2 linked regions of the Elephas maximus indicus genome follow. The protein of the gene in region 1 binds, or shares a complex with, the protein of each later gene. Links are inferred from orthologs where the notes say so. Each region holds a gene or a part of one and is shown in the gene's direction. Other genes may lie near its edges.

Region 1 (15,435 bases):
ATTTCAGTTGGCAAGTGCTAAATCACCCACTCTGTACTGGGCTCTGAGAAAAAAGATGAAGGAGACGTAGTTCCTTGCTTCAAGTAGCCCAGAGTCTAGCTTTGGGAACAAACATCTAAACAAAAGAATATAGGATAATGGTCAATAGACACTTCTTAAGTCTCTGCACTTCAATGTTAGTGTGTTATCTGACATGTTCTCATATCTAAACAAAATTTCTTGTGCAGTAGCTTTTGTGTTGGGGGAAAAAATGAAGTATTAGCCTTAATATTTCAATCATAAGTGGTCACTCCAATCCTGCCTCCACCCTTCATGCAAACTTATTCCAGGGGAATACCTCTGTTGGGAAGGAAAACTGAAGCTGTTAGAATGTTCTCAACTATAAGTAACAGACATGAAACTCTAATGGGTCTCAATGATGTGGTTGAATTTTCTCAAAGATCTAGAATGCTTGGGAGTAGGGGGCGCTCTAGGCGTGGTTTGATTCAGCGGTTCATAAGAGGTCATGGGACACCAGCTCTGTTTCTCTGAGATCCTCTGAGTTCTACATTCTTTATTGGGTCAGCTTCAAGCTGGCTTCCTTCCTGGCATTTGTATTCCTCTGCTATCACTTTGGAAACCCTGGTGGTGTAGTGGTTAAGAGCTATGGCTCTAACCAAAAGTTCGGCAGTTCGAATCAACCAGGCCCTCCTTAGAAATTCTGTGGGGCAGTTTTACTCTGTCCTATAGGATCACTATGAGTCAGAATCAACTTGAGAGCATTTTTTTTTTTTTTTTTTAACCATCATTTTAATGGGGTCTTGGAAGGAAAGGAGATAAACACACATGTTCAGTCAGTCATCTTAAGCTGTAAAGCTGATCTATGTTTTTCTGCCAAAACTTAATCTTCCCTTGTGCCTGTGGTTGACTTAAATGAGTTCATGTCAAGGACTAAGTAATTTATTAAATGGTTCTAAAGCCCCTACCACACAAAGGATGCTTTCAGAAGAGAGTGACCGGGCGATGAGGGGACTGAAGCTGTGACTGTAGAGAGAGAAGTTGCTGAGGAGGTGGGGAATGAGAAGAGGAGATTGGGGAAGGAGGAAAATAGACACAGGCATGGCGTTCAGAGAAATTCAAGATGGGCATATGGAAGAGGGTTCACATGTCAGCACCTACTTCCTGTATGATGATGGGCACATCACTTTCCCCTCTATAAGCCTCAGTTTCCCTCTCTATTTCAATGGATGTTTAGGATCAGTATCAGTCAAGGTTCTTGAGTTGCATGCAACAGAAACTAATGCTGGTCAGTTAATCAAAAGTTATATTGAAGTAACAGGTACACAAGAAGACATCAGAGTGGTAGGGACTTTGCCAACCTGGAAAACGTAGGGCCACTGAAAGAATCTGCATTCAAGAAAAAAATTTTATACACTGTGCTAGCCAAACAAAACTTGTCTACTGGCCACCTTCAGTCTGTGGGCCCCCAGTGTGCACCCCCTTTCTACAGGAAAAAGCCCAAGTTTCTTATGTGGCGCCAAGCCCCTGCTAGCCCAAGGGGTTAACAAACTCCAGATTAGAAACCCAATTCTAGGCGATGGAAAACAACTTGATGGCAAGACATTAGGGAATAGAGACTCTGGTTCTTAAGTCCGTAGCCTCCAGTACAAGGCCCAGGACAGAGATAGCCTCATGGTGTGCCCCAAATCTAGACTCTTTGTCCAGGTAGTTGGCTCGGGTTCATTTGATAATCTAGCCAAGATTATGCAGTTCACCAACATCGGATCCCAGAGACAAATGGGCACCTGGGCATGGGTCCATCAGGAACATGGAGTGGAAAAAAAGGGGCAGAAACCAGTCTCTTCTAGGTAGACAGCTGTTCACCAGCTGAAAACCTCAATGGCCTCTCCCTCAACCCCATGCCTAGCACTGCTCCCCTTACATCTTTCCAATAAACCCCCCTTCTGCTTCCCACTCTCAGGAACCCTGAAAGCTTTGTCTACCAGTGTGGCTGTTCACTAAATCTCCCACTAGCTACATGTGACCTCAAGAGAAGGGACTGTTCTGGTAATTTATAGGTCTCCAGCACTGGACCTGGCCAATAGTAGATGCTTGTTAAGTGCTTAAGGTTGCTGCGTAACCATTAGAAACCATTTACCCTGGAAATAATCATGACCTGGGTCAGGAGAGTAGGGCTGAATCACTGATGTTGGGCTGATCCTCTTCGTCTCTGTTTCTCAGTTTCCCCATCTCCACGGGAAAAGGAGGACCACTGAAGGACCATCTGGTTCCTCTGACATCCTCTGGGATCAGTGATTCTGCCTTGTGACTCCTGAAAATAGCTGTAATTTTGACCAGGGTTGAAAGAGGGGATGGCTCTGATGGGTAGAAATGGTCCCTCACACTCAGGAGACACATTGTCACATCTGCAGACTGCCGTGGAGAAGGGGGCAGGCAATAAAGGGGGGCGAGTGAGGGAGGTTGGGGTGATCAAGCAATAACAAAGTTTTAGCAAGAACAGATAACGGAGACTGAAATCAGACACCTGGTTATGTGTCTCTGAGCCACCACTTAACTATGTGACCCAGGCTAGTCCCTTCATCTGAGAGTCTTCATATCTTCCTTTGTCTAGTGAGTGGACAAACAATATGGAATGGCTGTTGAATCTGGTTTTGAGCTCTGAGGAGCTAATGTAACAGTAAGCCATACTCTGGGCTCCAAGATAGGGTCACCCTCAAAGAGGATATAAAGGGGGAGGGATCAGTGTGACACTCTCTTTTACCCCAGCCCAGTGCTTGGTACTTGTAAGCCCAACTCCTCCCTCCCTATGCTATCAGACCAGAGCAAGAAATGCAGGCTAGACAAGAGACAATGCAAGTTAAAGTTTTATGTGAAACTTTGTAAATGTGTATACAGTGGCCTGTGGCTGCCTGCCCACGAGGGTTTCCTGGTCAGGGCACCACTGCTCAGCACTTATTGTAGATGGCGGCGCTGCCCCGCTCCTGGAACTCTTCCTTGCTGACCCAGAGCTGCTGGAAGGCCTGCAGGGAGGCCAGAATGGAGCCGCCGGTCCACACTGAGGTCTTCCTCTCAGGAGCCGCAGCCACAGCGAGGATGTCACCAGGGCAGAGGAGGCTCAGCTCCCTCTGGAAGCGCTCAGGGAAGCCATCTAGCATGGTGCAGCCCCCGCACAGCAGCACATTGGCGGCCATCTCCTCCTTGAAGCCTGCCTCCTGGCAGTGGCCCAGGCAAGCAGCGGTGAGCGCAGGGAGGCCTGGCTGGCCGCAGCCCATCAGGGAGGGCTTGAAGAGCATCTCCGAGCACCGGAAACGCTCCTGGCCGATGGTGATGAGCTTGCCGTCCGGGAGTTCATAGTCGACCCGGATCTCCTCCAGGGGCAGGCTAAGCTCCTGATCGGGCATGAGAGCCGCGTAGCAGCACTTCTTCTTGATGTGCTCGAGGACGTGCAGGTGGTCGTCCGTGAACTTGTGGCCCGCCTCGTTGAGCAGCTGCATCAGGTAGTTGGTGAGGTCGCTCCCGGCATAGTCGGCACGCATGGTCAGGCCCGGCAGCACTTCGCCCTCCGAGATGGGCACCACGTGTGAGACACCGTGCCCGCTCTCCACCACCAGCCCTGAGGTCTTGCCGTAGGAGTAGATGGACAGGAGCGACTGGGATGTCACGTGCATGGCGGGGATGCCGAAGGTCTCGAACAGGAGCTCCGCATACTTCTCCCGGTTGCTGCTGGGGCTGAGCGGAGGGTCGGAGACCAGCACAGCGTGCTCCTCGGGGAGGATCTTCATGGCCGTGTGGAAGATGTACTCCCAGATGTTCTGGACGCAGTCCCAGTCGACCACGATGCCGTGCTTTAGGGGGTTAACCAGCTTGAGAGGCACCTCCGTGTTGAGCAGCTCGTGGCCTACGTAGGTCTCCTTGCTGGAGTCGCCCGCGTGGGCTGCCTCGGGGCAGCGCTTGCCCACAGTGGAGGAGATGAAGTAGGTGGGCCTCGGCTCGCCCCCATAGCCACACTTACAGTACTGGGAGCCCAGGTCGATGATGAGCGCCTTGACCTTACGCACCTTCTTGGGCTTCACTTTAAGCTGGGCGGCTGAACCTGTGTCTCGGATGCCAGCATCATAGCCTGGCAATGCTCCTGCCTCTCCTGGGTCACCCTGAGCTGCGCCCATGGGGCTAGGACTGTTCCTTGTCGCCATCTGCCTTCCTTGCTCACCTTCTCACATCCACATCCCAGAGTTCCGGGGGAAGAAATGAGAAGGCTTACCTCCAGCAGTGCCTTGGCAACCACTCAGGATTGTGATGTCACTGGGGCTGGTCCACTCAGGCAGCTGGGGGAAGGGCTCCGTCTTGGCGGCCACTGATCTCTTCTCCCCACCCCCCACCCCACCCCCACCCCCACTCCAACTTGAGTTGCTACAGTGGCCGGCATAGTTTCAGAAATCCATACACCCTGTATTCTCAGAGGTTTCTCCTCCGTCTCCTTCCATCCCCACTCCTAACCCTTGTTCCAGGGTTTCTAACCTTTTCCTTCTGTTCAAACCCCCCTGCTGTGAATTTGCATTTCTAACAAGTTCCCTGCTAAGAATTTGCATTTCCACCCCAGACATACTGAATCAGAATCTACATTTTAACAAGATCCCCAGGTAATTCTTACTTATAACTTCCTGGGAACTTGTTAGAAATGCAAATTCTTAGCAAGGGTTTGAACTGGAGCAAACTGGTTCAAAGCCCTGCCTTGTTCACTGAACACCTTTTCCTCCTCTGCTTCTTGACAAAGGGGGATAAATATCTTTCAAGCTCCTATAGTAAGCCAGGCACTGTACCAGGTCCTTCACATATGTAATTTCACAGAATCCTGGGAGGTAGCCAGATCTGAGGAAATGGAGGCTCAAAACTCAAATGACTTGCCCGAGAGCAAACAGCTGAGCAGTATTTGTACTGGAATTTTAACCCAAATCTGTTCATCGCCTATGCATCAGGCCTCCTTAAAGTGCTTGAGTGCCTCAACAGTGATCTCATCACTTTATTCAACATTTACTAAACCAGAAGTGGGCGCAGTCCAGTCCTGCCAGCTGGAGATAGATTGTAGAGGCTCTGGCCACAATCAGTGTCCAGTCGAGGTGGGCAGAAGAGAGAATGAATGCAGATAAATTTGAAGGTCGAAGTCTATTTGGTGCATAAGAAGATAGTACTTATTTTGGGGGAGGCTGTCAGAAGATTCTCTAGAGAGGAGGTGATACACTCAAGGAGGACTGTCTTAGTTATCTAGTGCTGCTGTAACAGAAATACCACAAGTGGATGGTTTTAATAAAGAGAAGTTTATTCTCTCACAGTCAGGGAGGCTAGGAGTCCAAATTCAGGGTACCAGCTCTAGGGGAAGACTTTCTCTCTCTGTCGGCCCCAGGGGAAAATCCTTGTCAATAATCTTCCTTTGGTCTAGGAGCTTCTAACTACAGGGACCCCAGGTCCACAGGACATGCTCTGCTTCTGGAGCTATTTTCTTGGTGGTATGAGGTCCCCCTGTCTCTCTGCTTGCTTCCCTCTTTCATATCTCAAAAGAAATTGAGTCAAGATACAACCTAATCTTGTAGATGGAGTCCTGTGTCATTAACATAACTGCCTCTAATCCTGCCTCATTAATATCACAGAGGAAGGATTTACAACACATAGGAAAATCAAATCAGATGACAAAAAGTGGACGGACAACCACACAATATTGGGAATCATGGCCTAGCCAAGTCAACACACATTTTTGGGGGACACAATTCAATCCATAACAAGGAGTTAATACTGAAAGATATGTGGGTGTTTATTAAGTTTCTAAGAGCAGGGAAGGATATCCCAAGCAGAGAGCACAGCCTGAGCAAAAGTTCAAATGTGTGTGTGTGGCGGGGGGGGCATTTAGAAATGTACTGCAATGGATGAGGCTAGAGAGGTCACAGGAACCCATGGAGGAGGACTTCAAATGATAGAAGTAAAAGTTTGGATTAAATTGAGGACAGTTGAGGAACCAATGAAGACTTGAAGCATGGAAGTAGTCAGATTTGTTACCTGAAAATACTTTAGATTTGTCCTTGGCCGTAATGTAGAGAACGGATAAGAGGGCTAAGACTAGAAGCTGAGAGCCCTTGAAGAAATCCTTACAAGACTTGAAGGTGGCCTGAGGTAGGTAGTGTAGAAGAGAGGAAGGGACAGGTTCTAGAGAAGCTTAGAAGGCAGAATCTATTCTAACCAGTTAGTCCTCCAACTGTCCTCAGTATAATCTGAGCTTCCACTCCTAGCATTCGAGGCCTTCCCTCTTGGGCACCTGTGACCATTACACTTAAATTAGATGCGGGGAGTGAGGGAGAGGGAAGGATGAGTCCTTTACCTTTGTCCAAGCAAAGATGACCTGTCACCCAGACGGAATAAATTCACTAGGTTCCCATAGGAACCTCCATCCCAAACTGCTCCCCTCTGCAAAAAAAAAAAAAAAAAAAAAAAGATTAGGGCTTTGGTAGTGAAGAACTAAGAGAAAAATGGAAAGAGGAGCAGCTGGGGCAGAAGGAGTTTTGTGGGAGAATTGGGCAGAAGTAACTGACGGGTTAGGGGACATGAACAGGAAAGAAAAGAGAGGTGTAGTTAAGAAATATTGCTGTGGACCACGTAAGAAGGCTAATGAAGAATTTATTCTGGAATTTTTGTTTGCTGAATTGTTTCTTGGAACATGGTGCTATGAAACTGGATTATATGAATAACTTTATAAGGGTTACAATTATGAGCATCAACCTAGAAACTTCATTGGTGATATCACAAAATAATAAACCTTGAGGATTAGACACTTGAATGCCCTCTAGAACATTCCACCCAGTAATCTGGCATAGACAGCCCACTACATTTGGCCAGCTGTAATAAACTTCCTCATATTGGATTGACACCTGTTTTAGTCATCTAGTGCTGCTATAACAGAAATACCACAAGTAGATGGCCTTAACAAAGAGAAGTTTATTTATTTATTTATTTTAAAGTAGGCTAAAAGTTCTAATTCAGGGAGTCAGCTTCAGGAGAAGGTTTTCTTTCTCCGTTGGCCTTCTCATCAATCTTTCCCCAGACCAGGACCTTCTTCATGCAGGGACCTCGGGTCCAAAGGACGCACTCTGCTCCTGGCACTGCTTTCTTGGTGGTATGCGGTCTCCAACTCTCTGCTAGCTTCCCTCTCATCTCACATTTTTTGGGGGACATAAGTCAATCCACGACAATATCTGTACTTCTCTAAAGAAGCCACTAATTGGTTTTGTGTTTACTTCTGAGTCTGTGCAAGGCAAGCTAGTTCCGTGTGACAGCTCTTCTGCTATTTAAGGACTGGGCTCCTGTGAGCCTACTCCTCTTCCATTCCTTATGGAAAGACAGCACAGAATGGAAGGAAGAGCAAGGAACTTAACTCAGAAGGACTGAGTTCAAATCTGTAGCTTCATTATTCATTGTCTGTATGATCCTTAAACTACTCAAAACATTAGTTGAATCTGATTACGATGGTACTATGCCCCCTCACCAACTTGATCCCTATTCTTAGTCTCCAGGTTTCTAACTTGAGCAACTTGGTGGATGGTGGTGTCCCTCAAAGAAATAAGGACTGCAGGGAGAGGCGCAACTATATAGGGAAAGATAATGAGTTCCATTTAGGGTGTGCTGTCTTAGAGATGCCAATAGACCATGAGGCTGTCTAGAGATGGTCTAGAGATGAGGAAGAGAATGCAGCTAGACTCAGATTTGAGTCTACCCTCTGAAGAGAGTTCCTTTCCCTTCTACCTCAAGGAAAATGGGCACAGGCTTGGTACTTGGCTTATCATATTGGGACCTGAGTTTTGGGAAAGAACAAAGAGATTCAAAGTGCCTGTTCGGCAAGGAAACCTCTCTCCACTGGGAGTTCCTGATTTTCGAACTTTGATACATTGAAGAGCCGAATTCCTAGGCTTAAATATTCCTAGACTCTAAATACTCTGATGAGATAAGGCTGGGATCTAGAAATCTGAATTTTTAAGAAAAACTCCAGGTAACTCATGAGAAGAAATGCTATGCATTGGCCTTTTCCTCACTAGATTTTCTTTCTTCCCTCCCATGGCTGCTAAAATTACAGTGGCCTAGTTCACCTTTCCTCCAAAGGTCAAGAAGAGTATCCTAAAAACCAAGGTCAGGAGCAAGGATACCACCTCAGGGAGAAACATGTTTCTTAGTCCTGTCTTTCCAGGTTTTCTTTCTCTACTACAGAGGAAGGCCCAGGATTACTTTCAAGAAAGGGCCATTTTGCAGCTCTTTTGGTGCTGGGCCAGAAGAGCAAAAGTATGTGTGATCTCAGAAGAAAATGGGGCCCAAGTAGTCTGAGTAATATAGACTGTCTCTACCTAAGGGTCCTCCCCAGAGACCCCACAGAGTCCACAAACACCTTAGATGGCTAGTGACAAGGTGGTGGAGGGGGTACGTGCCAGGCAGTGGCAGTTTTGGGTGTAGTGTGCCAACAATCTCTGTATTCTTCTATCATTGACACTACTAACTACATGTCGACCCAGGGAGGGGGAAGAGACATGAAAGAGGACATGAAAGCTAAGGGAAAGAGAGCTTCAATTAGGAGTGAGCATTCAAGCACATGAATCTCTGAGAGGTCAAGTAAGAGGACTGAAAAGTATCCACTGGCATTACCCAAGAAGATGTGCGGGTGCGGCCTGAGCATCCCTGTACTCATAGGCCTTACCTACTAGATGGAGGGGTTGGCCTTAAACTGGCCCACCTCTTCCTCCCACAATGATGGAAGGGTAGGGAGGGTGAGCATGGGCAATCGGGGAGGAGGAGCACATGCAACAGAGCATGGCTTTGAGTGCTTTAGTGAAGTTGGTACACAGGTGATGTAAGAGGGTGTGAGGCATGTGGAATAATGGGCCCCCAAAATGTCCACATCCTAAATCCCTGGAACCTCTGAATATGTTACCTTACATGGCAAAAGTATCTTGAGATGGGGAGATTATCCTGGATTATCCAAGTGGACACAATGTAATCACAAGGGTCCTTATAAAAGGGAGGCAAGAAGGTAAAAGCAGGTTAGAATGACACAAGGAAGAGGGCATGAGCCAAGGGATGCAGGCAGCCTCTATAAGCTGAAAAAGGCAGGAAACGAACTTTCCCTGAAGGCTTCAGAAGGAATATAGCCTGATAACATCTTGCATTTAGGCTTCCGGACTATAGAACTCAAATCTACCATTTTAGTGTGAAAGCAGCCTTAAACAACAGGCAAACAAATGAGCGTGGCTGTGTTCCAATAGAACTTTATGTACATAAACAGGCCGCAGGCTAAATTCCGCCTGTGGGCTGCAGTTTGCTGGCCCCTGCTCTAATGTGTCTGCACAAGCTGCTCCCCCTGATACACACGGGGCTCTGTCCCTTAACCTCCTTCAGGTCTTTACTCAGGGAGCCCTGCTCAGGCCACACTAACATTGTCACCCTTCCTAGCATCCTTCCCTACTTTTTCTCTTTAGCTCTTAGCACCCAGAGGTGTAGCGAGGACAGAGGTCCGAAAAGGGGCACTTGCCCCTAGGCACAAGTCCAGGAGGGTACCAAATGACATTCCCAGGTGTCACAAATATGAAATGTGCCTGAGGCAGCCAGACAAGAGGGGGGAAGGCATTTCTGCTGTCACTGCTATCAATGTCTATTCTTCTTAAAGTTGGAGGGGGAGGGTTACAATTTAGAGATTAGCCCTGGGCATTTGCTGCCCTTGCTAGGCCCCTGTTAACACCTTCTAACATACATTTATTTTGGTTGTCTGTTTCCCCTGATGCCCAACCCTCACTGACTAGAGTGTAAGCTCTACGTGGGCACAGAGTTGTTTTTTTGTCACTGCTGTATTCCTAGCTGCCTTAGATGTAACAGGTACTCAATAAATATTACTCAATTGAATGAATGAGGTTTATTGCAAAATTTAGAAAAAGAAAGGTGAAGGCAGTTCGCAAACACCACCCCAAATCTATCCTAATACAGGACAAAGTTTCCCGGGATCTAGAAAGCCCTGGGTCACTGGATTATGTCATAATCAGTGATGTCATCTTTGGGAAGATTCTGAAGTTACCCTCTGATTTAGGCCTTTCAGGCCTTGAAGCTGGTGGGATTGAGGAGCTTTCTGAGAGCAGGATGGCTCTTGACAGTGTGTGGGCTCCACAGGTGGCTATGATTGGGGATGGGCCTGCCAAGAAAGTGAATGAACAGATGTCCATACAGACACAGGCCCTCCAGACTGCCTCCTTAAAGGACGGCCCGGCCAAGCGGGCAGTGTGGGTTCGCTGCAATAGTTCAAAGCCAGAAGACCCTACTAAATCCACAGTGGCCAAGGAGAGGCCTAAGCTACAGGCAACTAAGGCAGTGGTAGTGGACCTGGGCACTGGGTACTGCAAATGTGGCTTTGCTGGCCTGCCAAAGCCCACTCACAAGATCTCATCAACAGTGGGCAAGCCCTACATGGAGACAGCCAAAACCGGGGATAATCGCAAAGAGACGTTTGTGGGGCATGAGCTCCTCAATCCTGAGGTCCGTCTCAAGCTAATTAATCCTCTGCGACATGGCATCATTGTGGACTGGGATTCAGTGCAGGATATCTGGGAATATCTCTTCCGACAAGAGATGAAGATCAGCCCAGAGGAGCATGCGGTCTTGGTTTCAGATCCCCCCCTGAGCCCTCACACCAACCGAGAGAAGTATGCCGAGATGCTGTTTGAAACCTTCAACACACCCGCCATGCACATAGCCTACCAGTCCCGCCTGTCCATGTACTCATACGGAAGGACCTCTGGCTTGGTGGTGGAGGTTGGCCATGGTGTATCCTACGTGGTCCCCATCTACGAGGGTTATCCTCTGCCTAGCATCACCGGGAGGCTGGACTATGCAGGCTCTGACCTGACAACTTACCTGATGAACCTAATGAACAATTCGGGGAAGCATTTCACAGAGGACCAGATGGGCATTGTGGAGGACATCAAAAAGAAATGCTGCTTTGCGGCCCTGGACCCTATCGAAGAGAAGAAAGTACCATCTACTGAGCACATGATCCAGTATACTCTGCCAGACGGGCAGGAAATACAGCTGTGCCAAGAAAGGTTCCTCTGCTCAGAGATGTTCTTCAGGCCATCTCTAATCAAGTCCATGCAGCTGGGGCTACATACCCAGACTGTGTCCTGCCTCAACAAATGCGACGTTGCCCTCAAACGGGACCTCATGGGGAACATCCTGCTCTGCGGGGGCAGCACGATGCTCAGTGGTTTCCCTAACCGCCTGCAGAAGGAGCTGAGCAGCATGTGTCCCAATGACTCGCCCCAGGTTAACGTATTGCCAGAAAGAGACACTGCAGTGTGGACTGGTGGCTCCATCCTTGCCTCGCTCCAGGGCTTTCAGCCACTGTGGGTCCACCGCTTTGAGTACGAGGAACACGGGCCTTTCTTCCTCTACAGAAGATGCTTCTGAACTCTGGAGTGAAGCATGGTGGTCGTGGTTGAAAAGCACCAGCTTTGCTGGGTGAACACCCATCCTGCACACAGGGAACTGAGCCAGCATGTCCACTCCTGTGGTATTAAATGACCCTCATGATAGCATGTCCATTCCTGTGGTATTAAACAGCCCTCATGTTCCCCTCCACAGTGTGTTTATTTCCTAACTTACTAAAAGCAACTTCACAGATGCAGCACCTGCCTTAAAATATACATTTGCCAGAACAAAATGGGGAGAGGGGAGAGATGAAAAAGACATGCATTATCTGATGATTTCTTAAACACTCCCTCTTTCTTAGGAGAAATTAGCTCTAAAATTAATCTATCCCTTGTTTTCTGTATTCCCCACTTTGGGAATTTTTTTATTGTTAAAATTGGCTTGGAAGGGGGAGTGCAATGAAGATAGATTATGGAGTAAATGCTGCTGGAGCATATAAGAAGATCCCTTTCAATAAATACCAAGGGCTTGGAAACAGCCTACAAAAATGTCTGACCCCTGCTTTAACTGTACTTTTACCTCCAACAGTCATTTGTGTCTCAATACCAGCTCTTATTAAGCCATCATGGTGACTGGCTTCCAAAGCCGAGAATATTATGAGTGGAATATATGTATGTGTCTTAGGAGTGTTACATATATTTTCTCTTTTTAAAAAATTGGGGTTAGATTCATCTTGGGTTATCAGCACTGTGGTCATGAGGATAGTAGCCACACTCATTCTCCAGATATCTGAGAAGTAGCTGCCCATTTCCCACCAGATTTGATTTTCCATCAGCCTGTAAGGGACACAGTTGGGGTTTGGAGTGGGTTCACGATGGAGGCTGCTGGTTCTGGGGCTGATGACATGGGTTTGTGGGAGGCTGCCCCATGCCAGTTATTTTAACTCAGAGGAGCCTGAAGAAACATACAGATCGTCCGTGGCCCATCAGGTTCTATGGTATTCCGGCAGAGGGAGTTTGTAACTGGAGCACAGATTTTTGAAGACAGGCCTCAGGGCATATTCCCTGCCCTCTCTCCAAAGTTCAGAACCTGAACAACACTGGCAGGCAGCATAAAATAGTAGAAAGAACATGGGCTCTTGACCTCTGTGATTTGAGAAACTGTATTTTGTTACCATCTGTTTGCTCACCTACAGAATTGAATACTAAATGCCTACCTCACACAGCTGACGCAAAAAAACAGAGATAAACACCTGAATGCATCCCTGGCCTCCACAAGGTGCTCACAAGAGTTAATTAATATTATTTTGTAGACATCTACCAGTTATACACCATAAGCCCAGTCTACATATTCACATGTTCAGCACTCCTAGGAGAGCTGGCACCTCTGCCATCTCCAGGGAGATGCACTAGAGAGCTATCCTCACACCTCTAGGTCTGTCCAGACAACCTTCAAAGACCTAGTTGCCTGACCCTGGACCCAGGCCTGATGAGTAAGCTTATTTGGCTAGCACCAGTACACTGGTGTAGGGAAGCAAAAATGGTTACAGAAGGGTACCTGGACTTCTGTGGTTCAGCAAAGATGACTAAGCCTTACCCTGAGTATCATGGAACCAGCCAGAAGTTGGGTACACTGACTCGAGAGGTATGTCTTATTCAGCTCAGTTTCTGCCCAAACTCCTCTACTGTCAACACTCTATGAAATTCCCTGACTGGCAAGTTTTTTTGGTTAATTCTTAACCTGTGGACCCCTTCTCAGAGTAATGCTTCTAAATGCAGAAAATAAAATACATAAGAATAAAGAGGAAACCAATCATATTAAAATGCAGCTCTATCTTCTGGGTTCTGTGGAATCCAGGCTAAGAGCCCCCCAAAAGATGACTGTCTTGATGAAGAGGAGAGGTGGGGGGTGGTTCTGGAGGATGGGAGTCTCTACGTCATCCTAGGCCTAAATGTTATGCTGTATTTTAAATGAAAAATAGCAATATAAGGCTGAATAGTTGCATAGTTTTTTTTCAAAGCACTTTTATGAATTCTCTCACTTGATCCTCACAATCACTCTAGTAAAAAGAATCTCCCTGACAAAAAGAAATGAAAAGTTTTAGTAATATTTGGAAGTCATCTTAGCCCAGTGGTTCTTAACTGGGGGCACTTTTCCCCTTCCTGTGACATTTGATAATGTCTGGAGATATTTTTGGTTATCGTAACTGTGGGGGGTGAGGTGGGAGGTGTGCCACTGGCATCTAGTGGGTAGAAGTCAGGGATGTTACTAAATATTCCCACAATGCACCAGAGAGTCTCTCACTGCAAAGAATCATATGACCCAAAATGTCAATAGTGCTGAGGCTAAGAAACTCTTAGTCCAAAGAGCAGACAAGGCTGGAGGAAAGCAAGGCTCAGTGAGATTAAATGACTTCATCCTAGGATGTTAACAAGAAAGAGTGGATCCATGGGCCAAAACCTGTTTGTTTCTTTACCAGGGGAGCATCCCTTGTTCTCAACGTTCCTGGGACTTCAGAGCCAGTAGGAGTAATGTGGAGTGGCTACTGTGGGCAGGAGGCACAAGCAAGGGCTTAGGGGGCAGGCAGCAGGCTCAGCTCCAGGGACACAGGATCAAGAGCAGGCCGTCAGTCTTTCCAAACGTCACCTTGACTTGTCTCCAGCCTCTTGGACATTTATAGTCATCCAGCCCCTAAGATTTTCATCCCCACCTCAGTTACTAATACGACAGACAAGGTAGGACAACCAAAGGCTCCCAAGGACTTGTCCTAGGTGATGCTTCTACAGAAGCACAAAGGTTCATGGGCTGGCACAAGAGGAAGAATTAATTTTGCTTCCTAAACTTGCAGTCATCTTATTTATATTACTAAGAATAGTCAATTTTATTTATTTCTTGAAATACCCCTTCAGTTACAGTTAGACAAATCTCTCAAATTCATGCAGGTATATATGAAAATATATACATAAACATAACATTTTTAATAAAAAAATAATGCATTTTAAAATACATAGCAGGGCTGAAAAATTACAATCAGCTATACTATTAAAGACATAATAAAAACATTAGCTCCTGCCTTAGTTTAAAGAAAAATAATGTTAAAATCCATTTTGATTCACGGAGACAATCCTCTGTTAAGTTCTAGCTTGATGTTTGGAGCATCTGAGCAAGCCATTTGGCTCAATGGAACCAAGGAAAGAACTGAGGATTTTTTGCTCCCTGCAGCATGAAACTGCTTTGGGACAGAAATCAAATTTTTGGGAAGAGTTATATAATCTTTTCTAGCACTTGACAAACTCTTTCCCCAAAATTAAGCATTCAACACTCACATGAGTTTCTCCTCTTCCCATACACAACATTTGACTTCTCCATCAATTCCTCCTTGGCTTTGCCTTCAATTTGGCGGGTCTGCTCCTGCCTGATTCTTCTCAAAATCAACAAAACCCAATCTTGTCCAGAAGAGAAGAGATAGTAATTGACAGTAATTCAAATTTACAAATTTTTTCTTGCTGCATATCTATCTATACATTATCTTAAGGGGATTGGACATGCATGAAATTTCACTCATACCAACTGACACATTTATTCCTATTTCCAATACATCAACATGGGACCCTTGTACTATGATCCAAATTTGTTTTAGTATAAACCAGTTGCAATTTTAAAGTGAAAGCACTACAGCATATTTAAAATGTTATGTAAGTTACCATGTTCATTGACCCATGCCAAAGAGTAGTTGCAAAGTATTTTCTGCCTTTCAATGTTTGGTACTTAATTAAAGCAAATTCATTAGGTATGTGTCAACAAATATTCCCTCGAAGCAGGACAATACCTTCTTTTCTGTGTTTTTCTCAATATTTTATTGTGAAAATTTTCAGACATACAGAAAAGTTGAAAGAATTATACAGTGAATACCCCTAGATTCTATAGTGAACATTTAGCTATATTGAGTAACAAAAAACCAAACCAAACTTGTTGCCGTTGAGTTGATTTCAGCTG
Region 2 (17,075 bases), on another chromosome or scaffold:
CGCTCACAGGCTTTTAAGACCCCAGACACTACTCACCAAAGTAGAATATAGAATATTTTCTTTATAAACTGTTATGCCAATTGAGCTAGATGTTCCCTGAGACCACTGTCCCCGCAGCTGTCAGTCCAGCAATTTGGTTTCTCAGGGAGTTTGAATGTGTCCATGGAGCTTCCAGGACCTTGCCTTGTACAAGTTGTGCTGGCTCTCCCAGTATCGTGTACTGCCTTACCCTTCACCAAAGTTAACACTTATCTACTGTCTATTTAGTGTTTTTCCATCACCACTTATCCCCTCTCTCGTAACCATCAAAGGTTGTTTCTTTTTGTGTGTAAACCTTTTCATAAGCTTTTATAAAAGTAGTCTCGTACAATATTTGTCTTTTTGTGATTGACTTACTTCACTCAGCATAATGCCCTCCATATTCATCCATGTTCTGAGATGCTTCACAGATTCATCACTGTTCTTTATCATTGCATAATACTCCATTGTGTGTATGTACCGTAGTCTGTTTATCCACTCATCTGTTGATGGGCATCTAGGTTGTTTCCATCCTCTTGCTATTGTAAACAATGCTACAATGAACATGGGTGTGCATATGTCTATTCGCGTGACAGCTCATGTTTCTCTAGGATATATCCCCAGCAGTGGGATTGCTGGATCATATAGTATTTCTATTTCTAGCTCTCTAAGAAAGTGCTGGAAAACCTGGTGGCATAGTGGTTAAGTGCTATGTGCTGCTAGCCAAAAGGTCAGCAGTTCGAATCCACCAGGTGCTCCTTGGAAACTCTACAGGGCAGTTCTACTCTGTCCTATAGGGTTGCTATGAGTCCTCATCAACTTGACGGCAGTGGGTTTGTTTTTTTTGGGGGGGGGGTTTAAGGAAGTGCCATATCGTTTTTCAAAATAGATGTATCATTTTGCATTCCCACCAGCACTGCATAAGAGTTCCAATCTCCCTGCAGCCTCTCCAACATTTGTTATTTCCTTTTTTTTTTTTTGATTCACGCCAGTAATGCCGGGGTGAGATGGTATGTCATTGTGGTTTTAATTTGCATTTCTGTAATGGCTAGTGATCTCAAGCATGTCCTCCTGTGTCTGTTGGCCACTCGAATGTCTTCTTTGGCGAGGCGTCTGTTCATTTCCTTTGCCATTTTTTAATTGGATTGTCTTTTTGTTGTGGAGGCATTGGATTTTCTTGTAGATTATAGAGATTAGACCTTTGTCTGATTTGTAATAGCCGAATTTTTTTTCCCAGTCTGTAGGTTCTCTTTTTACTCTTTTGGTGAAGTCTTTTGATAAGCATAGGAGTTTAATTTTTAGAAGATCCCAGTTATCTAGCTTATCTTCTAGAGTTTATGTGTTGTTGGTCATGATTTGTATCCTGTTAATGCCATATACTAGGGCCACTAGCAGTGATCCTATTTTTTCTTCTATGAATTTTATAGTTTTGGGCTTTATATTTCGATCTTTGATCCATTTTGAATTAGTTTTAGTATATGGTGTGAGGTATGGGTCCTGGTTCATTTTTTTGCAGAAGGACATCTAGTTTTGCTAATACCGTTTGTTAAAAAGACTGTCTTTTCCCCATTTGATGGACTTTGGGGCCTAGAAGATCAGATGACTGTAGGTGGATGGATTTACATCTGCATTCTCAATTCTGTTCCATTGGTCAATGTGTCTATTGTTGTACAAGTACCAGGCTGTTTTGACTACCGTAGCTGTATAGTATGTTCTGAGGTCAGGTAGTGCGAGTCCTCCTACTTTATTCTTCTTCTTCAACAGTGCTTTACTTATTCGGGGCTTCTTCCCTTTCCATATAAAGTTAATGATTAGTTTTTCCAACTCTTTAAACAATGTTGTTGGTATTTGGATTGAGGTTGCATTGTATTTGCAAATCGCTTTGGGTAGAACTGTCGTTTTCACAATGTTGAGTCTACCTATCCATGAGCATGGTACTTTCTGCCATTTATATAGATCTCTTTTGGTTTCTTGCAGTAGTATTTTGTAGTTTTCTTTGTATAGGTCTTTTACATCCCTGGTAGATTTATTCCTAAGTATTTTATTTTTTGTTTAGGGGCTATTACAAATGGTATTGTTTTCCTGATTTCCTTTTCATCATTCTCTTTATTGGTGTATAGGAATCCAACTGATTTTTGTATGTTTATCTTGTATCTTAGCATATTAATTTTTGTTTGAATTACATAAATAATTTTTCCCTTGGGTTTTTCATTTCTTTTAACTTTACTTACAGTAGTTTCGCCACAAAGAAGTTTTTTTGATATAATCTGTTTTATCAGTTTTAAATTAACTTTTGGACTTTGAATCAGAGTTAGAAAGAACTTTCCTCATGTATTTTTATAAAGGAATTTATTTATGTTTTCTTCCTGTACTTAAATTATTTTATTTAAATCTATCATCTGTTTAGAGTTTATATTGGCATATGCATAAGAATCCAACTGTATCTTTTTCTAAATGGAGCTACCTTGTTGCCCCAACTCAGAATTGTGTATGTAAGATTCGTGTTATGATTCACTTCAAATGTTAAGTTCCATGTGTAAATATACATAACTTGTCTACTTCACTGATAATAAGCATTTTGTTTGTTTCCAATGTTTTGCTAATATGAATACAGCTATATAAGCATGCTTATACTGGTCTCATTTTTAAAGTCTACAACACTTACTGTCTATCACTTATACCTTGCTTTATAACTGAATTGCTATTTAATGATTTCCTACTATTTACCCACTCTTTTCCCACTAGGGCTTGAAAGAAAGCAGCTCATCTTTCATCTGGGCTATATGCCATATTGACTAGAAGCCCAATGAACTCTGAGTAAGAACTGAATCGAATTGAGTGGAATTAAATTGAATTGAATTAGTAGCCTGCTGGGGGCAGTGAAATGTCACATGCAATTAACAAGAGCAGAAGCAGCAGGATAACACTAATAGTCTGCATATTTGGACCATATGGGTAGATATTTATTTTTAAGGTTACAGAGGAATTAAGTCTTAATGAGAAGCATATAAATCAATTAATTCATTTGCCTTTTAATAGTCTTAGAATTTCTCATGTGCACATGAACACTGTTCTAGCTTCTGTGGCCTATCAAAAGCAGATGAAATATAATGGAAAATTTATTGCACAATTTACTTTTCACAAATCCAAACAGAACATGTTGGCCTTATTTGGCATATTCCTCACTTCATTATTTTGGCTGATCTATTTGTTTAAATGATAGGTATCTAGGGGTTACTACATCCTCTTATGGTAGAAGTAAATGTTATGCCTTTCAGAATGCATTCCAGGCTAGGTTTTTATCCAGGGATTAAAAGCCTGAGTTTCCAGGGAGGAAAATCTACATCTCTTTCAGAGCTGTAATTGACTTTCCTTGTTATCCAGCTCTCACAGCAAGTGCTACACTAAAATAAATAGTCACCAATAGGCTGGTGCCATCCCTTTTTAGGACTGAATTAATTCATGAAAAGTAAATTAGGAGCTTTTGTTCACACTGAGGCTTACCAGAGGCTCATATTTATATTACACTTAAGAGACAATCTTCAAAGTACAACAATTCTATTGACGTAACACATTGAGCTCTCAAGAAATGGAAAACCCAAGGAAAAGCAGTTTAAAAAATGAGATCTTGTGTAAATTTTTAAAGGAAGTTATTAAATGACAATTTAATAGAATAATGTTTTACAATTAAGAAAATATTGCTATTTTACTAAAAAGTAGTAATGCCCCGTTAAGACAAGGGGTTGTGTTGTACTTAAAGGTGGTATTAAAATGTTTGTGAGCATTGAAGCTTGTGGGAACTGTATGACATTTGTGTCTCATACACAAGCCAGCTTCTTTTTTTTTTTTGGCTATACTAAAACACTATATTGCCTACCTACTGGAAAAAAACATAATTGTATTTTTTTTTAAGAAAATAAATTGCTACAATACTTAAATGATATAAGAACTGATGACAGTTGCTTAAATTTGCATGATGCTTATGGTCCTCTAACTACTCACAGAACTTTTCCACAATGATTTTAATTACTGAGTAAAACTAAAAGAGCCCTCTTTGTTTATTCCTAAAAGGTATCATTCTACCCAGGAAGCATGCTGCCATCAAGTATAATTCCACAAATACCACACAGCACTCATGGTATTCATCCACAAAGAAGTATTTGCTTAAACAATGGTGTGAAATTCTCCATCCCAAGACACAGAAGGATTCCTAGCCTATTAATCCAACAAATTCCAGTGCTATAAAGTCTCATACTTTTATTTTACACTCCTGTGTTTTACATCATGTTTTCCTTATTTGCCTGTGAAATTAGTTGCATATATGCTTAGCATCGTATTACCATTTAACATTCACTTGTGGGAGAAATTGACAATATTTTTCCCTTCTGTTTTTACGTCATTTCTAAACTTATCCAGCCATTCCATAGGAATTATTCAGTGTTTTTTTTTTTTTTTAATATGTTCAAGTTAAAATAAAATCTTATTACATTTTGGGGTAATAGTATAAAGTTTTCTTAATCAGATCAAAAAAAGTTTTGTTCCTAGAGTACAAAAATGAATATTTTGTGTCAATATTTGCCCTAAGATAATAAGCAACAGTGGATAGTAACATCTTTGTAACTGATTTTTATGTGGTACTGGTTTCAGTGAATTTTACAGAGAGGCAGGGTGCAGAAAATCTTGTCCAGCTTCAGAGAGCTCCCTTTTCCCTTGTTTTACAAAAAGTTAAAGAAATACTTGCTTTTGGGATTGCCTGACTCGGAAGCCCACCCCCTGCCCCCAGTCTATTGAGTCCTTGAAAAGTGGCTAGAGAGACTGAGAAACAGAATTTAACATTTTATTTTCAATTAATTAATGTTGTTAATTAAAATTTAAATTTGAATAGCCAAATCTGGTAAGTTGCTACCATTTTGGATAGTACTTCTCTGAACTTTTACTTTCCATTGTCTCTCTTGCTCTTAGCCTAGACAGTTTTGATTTTCCTCAAAGCAGTTTCTAGTTGCGGGTAGAAAGGAGCCATGGAGGGTCAGTATTGAGCTATCACGGGGCCTAAATTGCTTCAGGATGAGCCCTGGTGGCACAGCAGTTATATGCTCTGCTGCTAAGTGAAAGATGGGCAGTTGGAACCCACCCAGAGGCAACTCGAGAGAAAAGACCTGGTGATCTCTCCCGTAAAGATTACAGCCTAGAAAATCATTTGGGGCTGTTCTACTCTGTCTTGTAGGGTGGCTATAAGGCAGAATTGACTAGACAGCATACAACAACAACAACAGATTGCTTCAGCCCCTTCAATCTTTACTTTTGTAGTTACTGTTATAAAATTGGCCTGCAGTGATTTACATTAATACCTGGAGAATATCTACATCTCTCTGTCCATCAAACACTGCCCTGGACCTTCCTTATCACCTCCACCATACTCATACCTGGAAACAGATACACGCCTCCAGTATGAGTGGTATCCCTATAAAACAGGAGAAGAGACACAGAGAACACCATGTGGTAACGGAGGTAGAGATTGCAGCTGCAAGCCAAGTAATGCCAAGAATCGCAGGCTGTCACCAGAGGTTAGTAGAGAAGTGTGGAACAGATTCTCCCTCAAATTTATGTAGGTGTTTATATGCATAGGTGTATATATGTGTGTACCTATGAATATATAATTGTCTATATCTCCAGCCCAGATATTTATTTTTACTACTAGACTCAGATCCAATTGGCCTTGTAAAAATCAATATATATGAAACTAAGTTCATAATCTTTTTGAAACTTCCTTCTTCTCTTGTGTTTCCTACCTTAAGGAATGAACTGCATCCACTCTACCAGTCCCCCAAAACTGATTCCTAAGAGTCATTCTAGATTCTTTATCCTCTCTCCTGTAAGCCAGTCAATCAAGGCCAGTATTTTCCACCTCCTTGATATCATTGGTGACTCTTTCTAGCTAATTCATTCTCCAGCCCTATTCCTCTCAATAAAAGAAACACCTTCCAGGTTTTGCCCAAGTAGATTTTCTAAAACGTAATTTTTTTGAAATGTTAATTCTCCAGTGTTCATAGCAAAATGTTCATCTCTTTTTCTTATGCCCTGTCTTAGTCATCTAGTACTGCTCTAACAGAAGTTCAACTGGATGGCTTTAACAAAGAGAAATTTATTTTCTCACAATCTAGTAGGCTAGAAGTCCAAATTCAGGGCATCAGCTCCAGGGGAAGGCTTTCTCTGTTGGCTTTGGAGGAAGATCCTTGTCATCGATCTTCTCCTGGTCAAGAAGCTTCTCAGGCGCAACAACCCCAGGTCCAAAGGATGTGCTCTGCTCCCAGCACTGCTTTCTTGGTGGTATGAGGTCCCCCACGGCCTAACCAAGTTAACACATATTTCTGTGGGACACAATTCAATCCACGACATGCCCTAAGCCTCTCCCACATTCATTTCCTCATAACCTCCCAGACAGGGTAATAGGTGTCTTTTGGTACATTTGGAAGGCTCTCACCAGCCACCACTGGCCCCTTTCTATGAGATCTACTCTACCTAGAAGTCTGAGCTTCAGCCTACATGTTGTCCTACATGGCTCTGAATTGGCACAAGCCTCAGCTGATTGGATTAGAGGTCCAAGCTTATTCAAGCTGGACTAATAAGAATATTTCCTTTGGAGGGGTTGAACCCCCAAACTGGACCTTTTTCTTGAGGTAAGGTAATGTCAACCCACGAACTGAGACTGCTTTTGTGGAATGTGGGGTGTTCAGAAAATAGTCTACAGAATGAAAGAATGAAAGCTGATACAGGCAGAGCAGCAAGATGAGAGAAGACATGGTCCCAGAGAAGGAATACCTTTCTTGGTTCCAGATGTTACCCATTTCCTGGTTCTACTCCCAGATGCATTCTGACCCTTGGGTTTTGCAAGACACCTCAACATCCTTATACAAATGCCACGTTATTGATTAAACTAGCTCAAAAGGGGTTCTATTGCTTACAATCAAAAGAGTTTTAACTAAGACACCTATTCATCTTGCAAGACTCAGGCAAGGGTTATTCCTCTCTAAAGACTTTCCAAACCCTAAAACTACCCTCTCCTTGATCCTCATTTGTGCTTCGCTTTACCTGCAACACTTCACAATTCCTACATGCTTGCCACTCCCATAAAATTTATAAACTACTTAAGAACAGAGGAAAGGTCTTCAGCACTCATTACAGTTCCAGGTACATAATAAAGGTTTAACCTATTTCCCTAATCAAAGACTAAAACTTGATAGCCTAGAGACTGGATTTTTGCTGAACAGCTATTCTATTTAGCCTATGAGGATTGTGTGTACGTGCGTGCACATGTGTGTATAAAACCTAGTATTGTATTTCCTTTTCTAAGGAAAAGAACATCAAGACTGTTACCTAGCATTATCCAGAATATCAATTTCCTCTCTACTTTATTTGATTGAAATATCGGAGTTGGGCATTTATTTGGCTAATGTTTCCATGAGTTTGGAGAGGAGCCAAGCCAAATGTTTATCAAACTGTTCCGCTAGGCACAAAAGGAGATTCAATTATAAGGTAATATCTGTCCCCACAACTTCATCAAGATGGACTTCCCAAGGTTACCAATGATCTTGTTGTTAAATCCAATGGGCATTTAACCTTTATCTACAGTTTGACGTTGTTGACTAATTCCTTCTTTAATGTCCTTTCTTGGTTTTGAGACTCCACTCTTAATTTTTTTTTTCCTGATCCTTCTACTAGCCCTCATGTCTTTTCTGTGCTTCTTTTGCTCAGCACTGCTTAATTGTTGTCTTTGATACTCTTCTCTTTTATTTTGCCATCTCCCAGGCTGATCCTATTTCCATCATGGCTTTCAGTTACTTATCTATGTAGGGTGTTGACTCTTAAATCACCATCTCAGGTCTCATCTCTGAGGTTTATATTTGGATACTTCACATAAATATCCCATAGACATGTCAAACACAATACATTCCAAACCGTACTCATTATCTCCACCATCCCCGAAAAAGCACAACTAAGCAAACTATTTCCTTCATTCTATATTTTCTCTCTTCCTGAACTATTTACACAGACGCTTGCTTAAGCCAGAAACCTATGTCAACCTCTATTCTTTCCTGTCATCAGCTACATGTAGTCATCAAACCATGCTCTACCCTCTAAATATCTCACTAGCTTAACATGTGAATAACGAAATAAGGACTCACAATCTTATCCTCTTAACAAAACACTTATCTACCTTAATTTTGCTTTCTATGTATTTGGCACAGTAATGATTCCAGATAGAAATCACTGAGTTTCAACTTCCATCCTTTGCTAATGATACCTATACAAAGTGATGCTAGAATGGAAAGATAAAGGAGAAGGGAAAAACTGGATGGTAAAAAATGTTTCTAGATTTTTTTCTTAGTGCCATCTCTGCTGCTCCACCAAATAAGGGCCCAAAATTTATGTTACATTTATTTGATGCCTTATTTAAACTGTCTTACTGGACATTTTCCATCTGTTTAGCTCCTAGAAAGAGACCAAATATTTTTGTCATGGCAAGACCTTATGTGCATGTGATCTTACACTGGGCAAACTATGCAGGGGCCCAGTACTTTTAGGATGATTGGGAAAATGAAATAGGAAAGTTTTCCACTCAGTGAATTAAAAAGATCATGATCCATTTTGGCCATCCCATTTTTAGTTTATTAATAGAATAAGTAAAAATGCACATAGTAAATCAATGTCCTGTTGAGCAATGTTAACAAATAGCAAAGGATTGAAATTGGTGGCTAAAATTTTGGATGTTCTTAGTTACCAAATTTCCAGAGGCAAAGTGGAGAGACATCTGGACTGAAATATCTGCATTGTTTGGGATTTTATTTTTGTATTTATTTACTTATTTATATTTTATTTTTTTAAAAGAGATGCACCAAATTAAAAGACCACCTACTGGCTGGTATTTATCATTTTTTTGTCATTACCAGAAAGTGAAAAAAATACTCTTGTTCTCTTTTTCTTAGTCAAAATGCTGTTTCCAGTCCATGCATGCTGTAAACATTATAAAGACTCATGAACACTGTCTTACCACCTGTGATCATTCAGGTTGTGTGTCAACTTGATGGGACCATGATGCTCAGTGGTTTGGCAGTTATGATATAGTTTGGCAGCCCTATAATCACCTCCATGATGAGATCTGCTGTGAGTAGCCAATCAGTCAAAAGGGTGTTTCCTTGGGAGTGTGGCCTGCATCCAATATAGGTCGACTTTCTAGCAAGGCTTAAGGGTTTTTTCTCTTTCTGGATCCTGCATCCTGCAGCTTACTCCTGTTCATCTGACCTTTGGCTCTTGGGACTTGAGTTAGCAGCTTACCTGCTGGTCATGGGATTTGTCAGCCTCCAGTCTGTGAGCTAGCAGTCTACAGTCTGACCTGCCAATCTTGGGTTCACCAGTTCCTATAGCTATGTGAGTCAGGAGAAGCCTCCAGCCTGACCAATGGATTTGAGACTTTCCAGCCTCTATAACTGCATGAACCATTTTCTTCCTTGATATAAATCTCTCTCTCTCTCTCGTGTGTGTGTGTGTATGTGTGTGAGTGTGTGTGTTTGTGTGTAGCTTCACTGGTTTGCTTCTCTAGAGAACTCAGCCTAAGACATCTCCCAATGACCTTAGGTCCCTCTCAGGCCCTCCATTCCCTGCAAAATGAGGGAGGTTAGACTCACTAATCTCTAGGGTCCCTTCCAGATCCAACAATCTGATGGCATGTGTTGTAATGGCTCCAGAATAAAGGAATGGCTTCAGCTCTGGGCTGCAAGGCTGCTGTGATACCTGTGAAACTCTGCTTCATCAAGGCATGAGACACATGAGAAACTTCAGACCATTTCATGGAGTAGGGACAAAGGGCAAACCTGTACTTGCAAAGGAATGGCTCATAATGTCTCTGCAGTGACTCACATTATCCCTACTTTTTGAACAATTGAATGCTCATAAAACCATATACCTATCTTTATTTATGATAAAACTGTTGAAATAACATTCTCTGCCAGTGTTTTGGGGCTATGGAGAAAAGCATTTGAGGAAATGCCATCTCCACAACCCAGCAGTGAAATCGTTGTTGACTGCCCTTCAGCTGATTTTGACTCATAAAGACCCCATGTGACAGAGTAGATTTGCCCCATAGGGTTTTCTTGGCTATAATCTTTACCAGAGCAGATCATCAGGTCTTTCTCCCAGAATGGGTTGGGTGAATTCGACCTGCCAAACTTTTTGGTCAGCTGCCAACCGCCTAACCATTGGACCACAGGGCTCTTAGGAGCGATATTGTTGTTAGGTGCCCTCCAGTGGGAGCGACGGTAGGCACAACAGAACAAAACGCTGCCCAGTCCGGTGCCATCCTCACAATGGATGCTATGTTTGAGCCCACTGTTTCTTCCACTCTGTCAATCCATCTCATTGAGGGTCTTCTTCTTTTCCTTGACTCTCTAGCTTGCCTAGTAGTTAAATTAGGGCCAAAGAATATGCTCACGCTCTTGTCTTTCTCATTGCTCTGAAAATCAACCAGGAAGCTAGTCCCGGAGTAAATGCTCCCCGGACAGAAATCAAAGGTGCCCGGCAAACATAAGTACAAGCTGGCAGGATGGAAAGGGCTCTCGTCCACCTTCAGCTGAAAGACAGTCTGACCCCAAATCTTCCTGAGTGAGCGGGCGGAGGCCCAGAGTATTCGCGGAGACGAGGTCGGGGCAACCGGGCCAGCTCCACAGACCCCGCCCCCAAGAGGCCCCCGCCCCCAGGAGGCCCCGCCCCTCACCTTGCGGGCGCAGCGGCCCAGCCGAAGGTGCGTGCGGCGCTCCGTGATTGGCCGCGGCCCGCGATGCCCGGCTGCGATTGGCTGCCTCGGCCTCTTTGTTCCCGGGGCCGGGTCGCAGGCCGGCTGCTGCGGGCAGAGCGGCGGAAGTTTGACGGCGCCGGCGAGCGGCTGCTGCAGGGGCTCGGGAGTCCCCGCAGGTTTCCCCAGTGCCCGCGCCGGGCCTCTACGTCAGGTCCGCACGGTCGGAGCGAAGCCCGTTGAAGCGCAGCTATGGACCTGGAAGCCCGAGTGAAGAAGGTAGGGGAGCTCCGGCTGCGGGCAAGGCTGCCTCACCTGAAGGCGGCGCCGCCCCCTAGATGCCGGGGGCGGTCGGGCGTGCGGGCGGCGCGAGCCGGGTCTCCGGGTCCCAGGTGCCCACCCTCCGGGGGACACAAGGTGCCAGCGGGCTCTCCCCGCCTCCGAAACTGGGGCGGTGGCGAGTCGGGAGCGCGACCGAGCGCGGGACATTTCCCTGCCGTCTGACCACTGCCCGGGGGCTTGAAGTGCTGGAAAAGTTTCCTTAAGGTGTTTCCACTGCTCTGTGCCTCCCTAAAGGGGAAGGGTGAGGTCAGGGTGAGGCCGGGCGGGACCGTGACACCGCTTCTTCCTGTCTCAGGAAATTCAACTTTAAACCTTTGTGGTTTAGGGGCCTGAATCCGGCTTTGACAGCTCAGACCTCCTCCACTGCCGGCCGCTTGGCCCCCCGAGACTGTCTACAAGGAGTGCTGATTCCATACACTTCCTTCGCACCCGTGGCTGGCTGATAACTTGAGGGTTTTTTTTTTTTTTTTCATTTATTACTTGACTGCCAAGGCACTGCCTCCTTCTTAGGGAGTTATCTCTCAGAGAAAACGCTCTCCCTGCCTGACAGCTTCCCCAAACAGCCTCTGGATCACCAGTGCCTTAGCGCTTGGAGGAGTTTCCAGCCTGCTCTGGGGCGTCAGGACCGACGGCTCTGCCTGAGCCGCTCCGTGACTATGGGGAGCCTCAGGTCCTCAGGGGGAAGTGGGTGGGCACCGCACTGTGACTCACAAGGAATGCTGATGTCACATTCCAGGGCAACGTTCCCTATGAAAGGTCTCATTCTAGGGAATTGCGCATATTTACTTTGCAGTAAATTTAAAAGGAGAGTCTCTGAGTGGCGCAAAAGGTTAGGCGCTAGTCGAAAGGTTGGCTTTTGGAACCCACTAGAGGCGCCTCAGAAGACAGTCCTAAGGCTCTGCTTCTGAAAGATCGCAGCCTTGGAAACTCTGTGGAGCAGTTCTCTGCATCCTTGGGATGGCCAGGAGTTTGAATCCACTCTATGGCTACTAAAAATAACAAGTTTAAGCTAGCTGCCCCTAATCAAATAGGAAAGGAAGTTTTCCAGAAAAAATGAGGAGGATAATACAGAAAACTTAGTTTTCTTTCTAGTTGCCAACTTAAGGTTGTCGATATTGTTGTTATTCCATCTTCTAAAGATGCAGTTCCTGACTTGAGCATTAATGCACTTTCATGATCCATACTGGACTATTGAAAATGAACGCAGATTAGGTTAAAAAAAAAAAAGAAGCAATAAATATTTGCAATGGGAAAACAGCTCATTCCTAGGTTCACTGTGAGTCTCAGTAGACTCGACGGCAGTGGTTTTGGGGTTATGACTAAAACCGGTACTCAAAAGGGAATCCAAGGACTGGAAAACAAAGTAAATTCTTCACGTAGTGTGATTAACTGCAGTCCTTTATCTTTCTGATTGGTTTCTTATTCTTTTATTTGCTTTGAAGTAACCCTGATATTTTTTGTTCATCATGCTTGGCACTAAGGAAAGCATTTTGCTAGCCTTCTGTTGATGAACACCACTCTCATTTTGTTTTTCAAGTGGGTAAGAATAGTAGTTGTCAAGAGTTCTGGGGGTCTTGACTGTGCATATAAGTATTGATTTGAAACTGCTTCTTAAAAGTCGACCTCCAAAAATGATTTTGAAAGTATTTGAGACAAGAACAAGTAATCCTGCGGGGAAAAACCCAAAGGTAAGAATTACATGTGCTTGCAAGAGAAAAAGCCAAACATTATCTGTAAACAGTTTCCTTAAACTTTCAAAATGTGGGTTATGATGAATAAATATAATGCCCTTGACACTTGATGTAATTTTTCTTCTCCATCACCTTTTATTTTAAAAGATTTTTTCAATGAAGAATGTTATCCTTCTCTCTAATCCTCCCCAACCCTGGAGAAAAGGGTTCCATAAACTTAAAGCTTTTACAGATAATCCCTTGACAGGACAAACCCTTGTTTTGTCACCTCTAGTGATTCTTAGGGCAGAGTCCTCAACAAGTAAATTGGAAAGTACTAAAAGATCCCAAAGAGCTCCAATTTGACTGCCAGTCATACCCTCTTTTTGCCTTTGGAGAGTCCTCGACAGACTTTATGATCTGTGGATTGGAGAATAAGTTTCCCTGTGCAAAAGAGTTTGGAGATCCTGCCCCCAGAAATACATTTCACGATTTTAGCCATAATCTCAGAAAGAAACATGTATCTGCTTTAGAAATTGTTTTCCAACATACCTGAAGAAGGAAACATCACAAAATTATCCCTGATCTACCAGCAGAGCCCTCTTACCCTATTTAGAAACCTAGTTTTCAAGCCTCTGGGTTTTTTTTTTTTTTTTTAAACTCACGTACACAAGAAAAAGAATAGTTTCAATGTACCTTGAGAAAAGCCAGCTTGGAGATTGGAACAAAGACACACCACTTGAATAAAGCTAAACATGACTTCTGTTCTGAGATACATGAAATTTTTTTTCTTCTAAAATTCTTACATTGTTGATTTCATAAGGAATTTTCCCTAGGCAGATGAGAAATGTTACTTTATTTCCACTAACATTTTGTATAAAAAGAATTAAAGAGGTTTGTTTTTATTACACAGCGACCTAGGTGGATGATACTATTATAGGATTCTTGGGTTATAAAAGAAGAACTTGATATCTACTTTGTACCACTTTGGATTAATTACCAGTAAACCCACTATCCCAAAGACAAGGGATTTTTATAATTTAGATTTTGCTCTATTTTTGTTTTGTTTGAAGTAAGCAAGCTGTTGCAAGGAGGTGGGAGATAGTTTGGTTATACAGAGTTTTTGTTTTAACAATATTTTAGAACAGAGTTTGACTTTCACATCCTTGGTCTGTCTTCTGAGGTACTCATCTAGACCCCTTATGCCTTAAGTCTCTTCACTGTAATTGACTTTGTCTAAGTGGAGCCCATGTATGCTTGGAAAAAACAATGGCCTTTGAGAAGCAGAAACAGTCACACTTTGTGGTGAATGGTAAGTCATGGCCCACAGCCAGCTGCTTTGCTCTTTCCTTTCTGTGTTATTCTCTCAGGAGAACCACTTTTTTTTTCCCCCGCTCTCTTTCTCCTTAAACGCATACCAGAGAGAAAGAACTCCAGTAATTTCTCTTGTACTGCCGGAATTGCTGCAGGGCTTTTAATTTCGTACCTGATTCATTTCTTGCCTCCATTCTAACCTCTGTTTTTTGAACCATTCAAATATCTTGGCATGTTTTTCTTAGGACTCTTTTTTTTTTTTTCCTTTTTTAAAAAATGACAAGCATTTTAAAGATTACAGGTCACTAAAAATCCCCTTTCTCTACATCCAAAGCTTGTTTTAAAAGCTTCTTTCATTAGCCAAAAAGCCATAGTAAAACCAAATGATTGCATTTGGAAAGAAGACTGAACCACAATTATTTCTTTGAGAAATTATTTCCATGAGAAATTAGAGTGAGCATCTTTTCTTAGATGGTCCCTGATTGAAGCTGAAAGGGCAAGTAGAGGGAGACCTGCATGCGCAAATCTACAGGTGGATTCTCTGCTTCAAGTCATTTTTGCTGTGGGAATCATTGTCAAGGCCAGGGGAAAGAGAGAACAAGGTATGTTCAGGGCTTTGTCTTAGCTGCCTGCCTCTCAGAACAAATAGAAAAAAGTGAAGTGGTCCGCAGCTGGACTTTTATCTCTCGTAACCCATTACATTGACTGGATATGAAACGTCACTTCCTCTTAACTAGCCCTGAGTGTTGATTTGACTAGAACTCTAGTAGGTTTTTGTGAGTTTCAGTTTTTTTTTGTTGTTGTTTGTTCCTTTATGTTATCCTAAGAAATGGAATTATTTTTATTGTTAGATGCCATCAAGTCAGTTCCAACTCATAGCGAACCCATGTACCAGAGGATGAAACACTGCCTGGTCCCGCGTCATCCTCATAATCATTGTTATGCCTGAGCCCATTATGAACGCTACTGTGTCAGTCTATCTCATCGAGGTCTTCTTTTTCACTCACCCTCTACTTTACCGAGCATGATGTCTTTCTCTGGGGACTGCTCCCTCCTGATAACATGTCGAAGGTATATGAGACATAGTCTCACCACCCTTGCCTCTAAGGAGCACTTTGGCTCTACTTCTTCCACGACAGATTTGTTCTTTCTTTTGGCAGTCCATGGTATAGTCAGTATTCTTCACCAACACCATAACTCAAAGGCGTCAATTCTTCTTTGGTCTTCCTTATTCATTATCCAGCTTTCGCATGCATACGAGGCAATTGAAAAAACCATGGCTTGGGTCAGGCGCACCTTAGTCCTTAAAGTCGCATTTTAGCTTTTTTGACACTTTAAACAGGTCTTTTGCAGCAGATTTGCCCAATGCAATGTGTCATTTGAGTTCTTGACTGCTGCTTCAATGGGCTTTGATTGTAGATCCAAGTAAAATGAAACCCTTGGCAACTGCAGTCTTTTGTTCATTTACCATGATGTTACTTACTGGTCCAGTTGTGAAGATTTTTGTTTTCTTTATGTTGAAGTGTAATCCATACTGAAAGCTGTAGTCTTTGATCTTCATCAGTAAGTGCTTCAAGTCCTCTTCACTTTCAGCAGGCAGAATTGTGTCATCTGCATAATGCAGGTTGTTAATGAGTCTTCCGCCAATCCTAATGCCATGTTCTTCTTCATATAGTCCAGCTTTTGGATTATTTGCTCAGCTTACAGATTGAGTAAGTATGTTGAAAGGATACAATACCAGTGCATTTCGGCTCACTAATGGCTAAGATATCAATGTTTATGCGTTCTATTTCTTTTTTGACAATTTCCAGTTTTCCTAGATTCATACTTCATGCATTCCATGTTCCTATTATTAATGGATGTTTTCAGCTATTCTCATTTTGAATTGTGCCACATCAACAAATGAAGGTCCCAAAAGCTTGACTCCATTTAATTCATTAAGGTTGACTCTACTTTCAGGAGGCGGCTCTTCCTCAATCGTATTTTGAGTGGCTTCCAACCTGAGGGGCTCATCTTCTGGCACTATACCAGACAGTGTTCCACTGCTACTCATAATGTTTTCACTGGCTAATTTTTTCCAGAAGTAGATCGCCAGGTCCTTCTTCCTAGTCTGTCTTAGTCTGGAAGCTCCACTGAAACCTGTCCATCATGAGTGGTCCTGCTGATATTTGAATACCAGTGGCATAGCTTCCAGGATCACAGCAACATGCAAGCCACTACAGTACAACACTCTGACAGACACATGGGGAGAAGTAGAACTAGGGATATATGTTTCTACTATATTAGTACTGTTGCCTCACCCCATTCCTTTCCTTTGTTGGTACTCATACTCCACTCTATCTACAATCCTAAATCTTACCCATCCTTCAAGGACCCCGTAATCTCCTCTGGAAAATTTTTCTCTGTGTTCCCAGCTAGATGCAAGATCTCTTTCTCCTGAATTCCTGATGCATGTTATCTATAATTCTTATGACACAGATCACACCCCCCTGTGGATTATAGTTCCCTTTGTGTATATTTCACATCCTTACCTAGACTGCAGGCTTCTTGAGAGACAAATTCGTATCTGATTATACTTGCATAGTTTGCAGTTCAAAAAGTATTATATGTTATTTCTTTTGCTGTTCAAATCCATCTCATGAAGTAGACCTTAGCCCCATTTTTAGGATGAAGAAACTAAGGCTCAGATTGATTACAGGCATACGTCAGAGATATTACGAGTTCCAGACCGCCACAATAAAGTGAATATCACAATAAAGTGAGTCACAGGAATTTTTTTATTTCCCAGTGCATATAAATGTTGTTTACACTATACTATAGCCTATTAAGTGCAATAATATTATGTCTAAAAAAAAGCAACGTACATACCTTAATTAAAAAATACTAACCATCATCGGAGCCTTCAGCGAATCGTAATCTTTTTGCTGGTGGAGGGTCTTGCCTCG

What was found.
Region 2: the proteins of ACTL7A (region 1) and TES are in contact, whole or in part, in a crystal structure (PDB 2XQN), measured with the Homo sapiens proteins. The link is inferred for Elephas maximus indicus from reciprocal best matches to the Homo sapiens genes ACTL7A and TES. Residues at the interface, in NP_006678.1 of Homo sapiens: Leu28, Gln29, Thr30, Ala31, Ser32, Leu33, Arg34, Asp35, Gly36, Pro37, Ala38, Lys39, Arg40, Ala41, Val42, Trp43, Val44, Arg45, His46; in NP_056456.1 of Homo sapiens: Asn311, Glu312, Tyr313, Thr314, Gln315, Ala316, Glu317, Leu323, Phe326, Leu335, Ala336, Gly337, Glu338, Ile339, Tyr340, Val341, Tyr353, Pro370, Glu371, Val372, Gln373, Arg374, Val375, Thr376, Tyr377, Ala384, Phe389, Leu398, Ile399, Gly400.

The regions. Positions count from the first base shown.
Region 1 is NC_064827.1:58,307,002-58,322,436, forward strand, and holds ACTL7A (actin-like protein 7A), read left to right. Parts: upstream 1-10,155; coding exon 10,156-11,478; 3' UTR 11,479-11,534; downstream 11,535-15,435. Other genes in the region: ACTL7B (actin-like protein 7B), read right to left, coding at 2,946-4,193. UniProt on the Homo sapiens protein: Essential for normal spermatogenesis and male fertility. Required for normal sperm head morphology, acroplaxome formation, acrosome attachment, and acrosome granule stability.
Region 2 is NC_064826.1:33,542,366-33,559,440, reverse strand, and holds the start of TES (testin), read left to right. Parts: upstream 1-10,872; 5' UTR 10,873-11,056; coding exon 11,057-11,083; intron 11,084-13,999; exon of another isoform or gene 14,000-14,125; coding exon of another isoform or gene 14,126-14,128; intron 14,129-17,075. UniProt on the Homo sapiens protein: Scaffold protein that may play a role in cell adhesion, cell spreading and in the reorganization of the actin cytoskeleton. Plays a role in the regulation of cell proliferation. May act as a tumor suppressor. Inhibits tumor cell growth.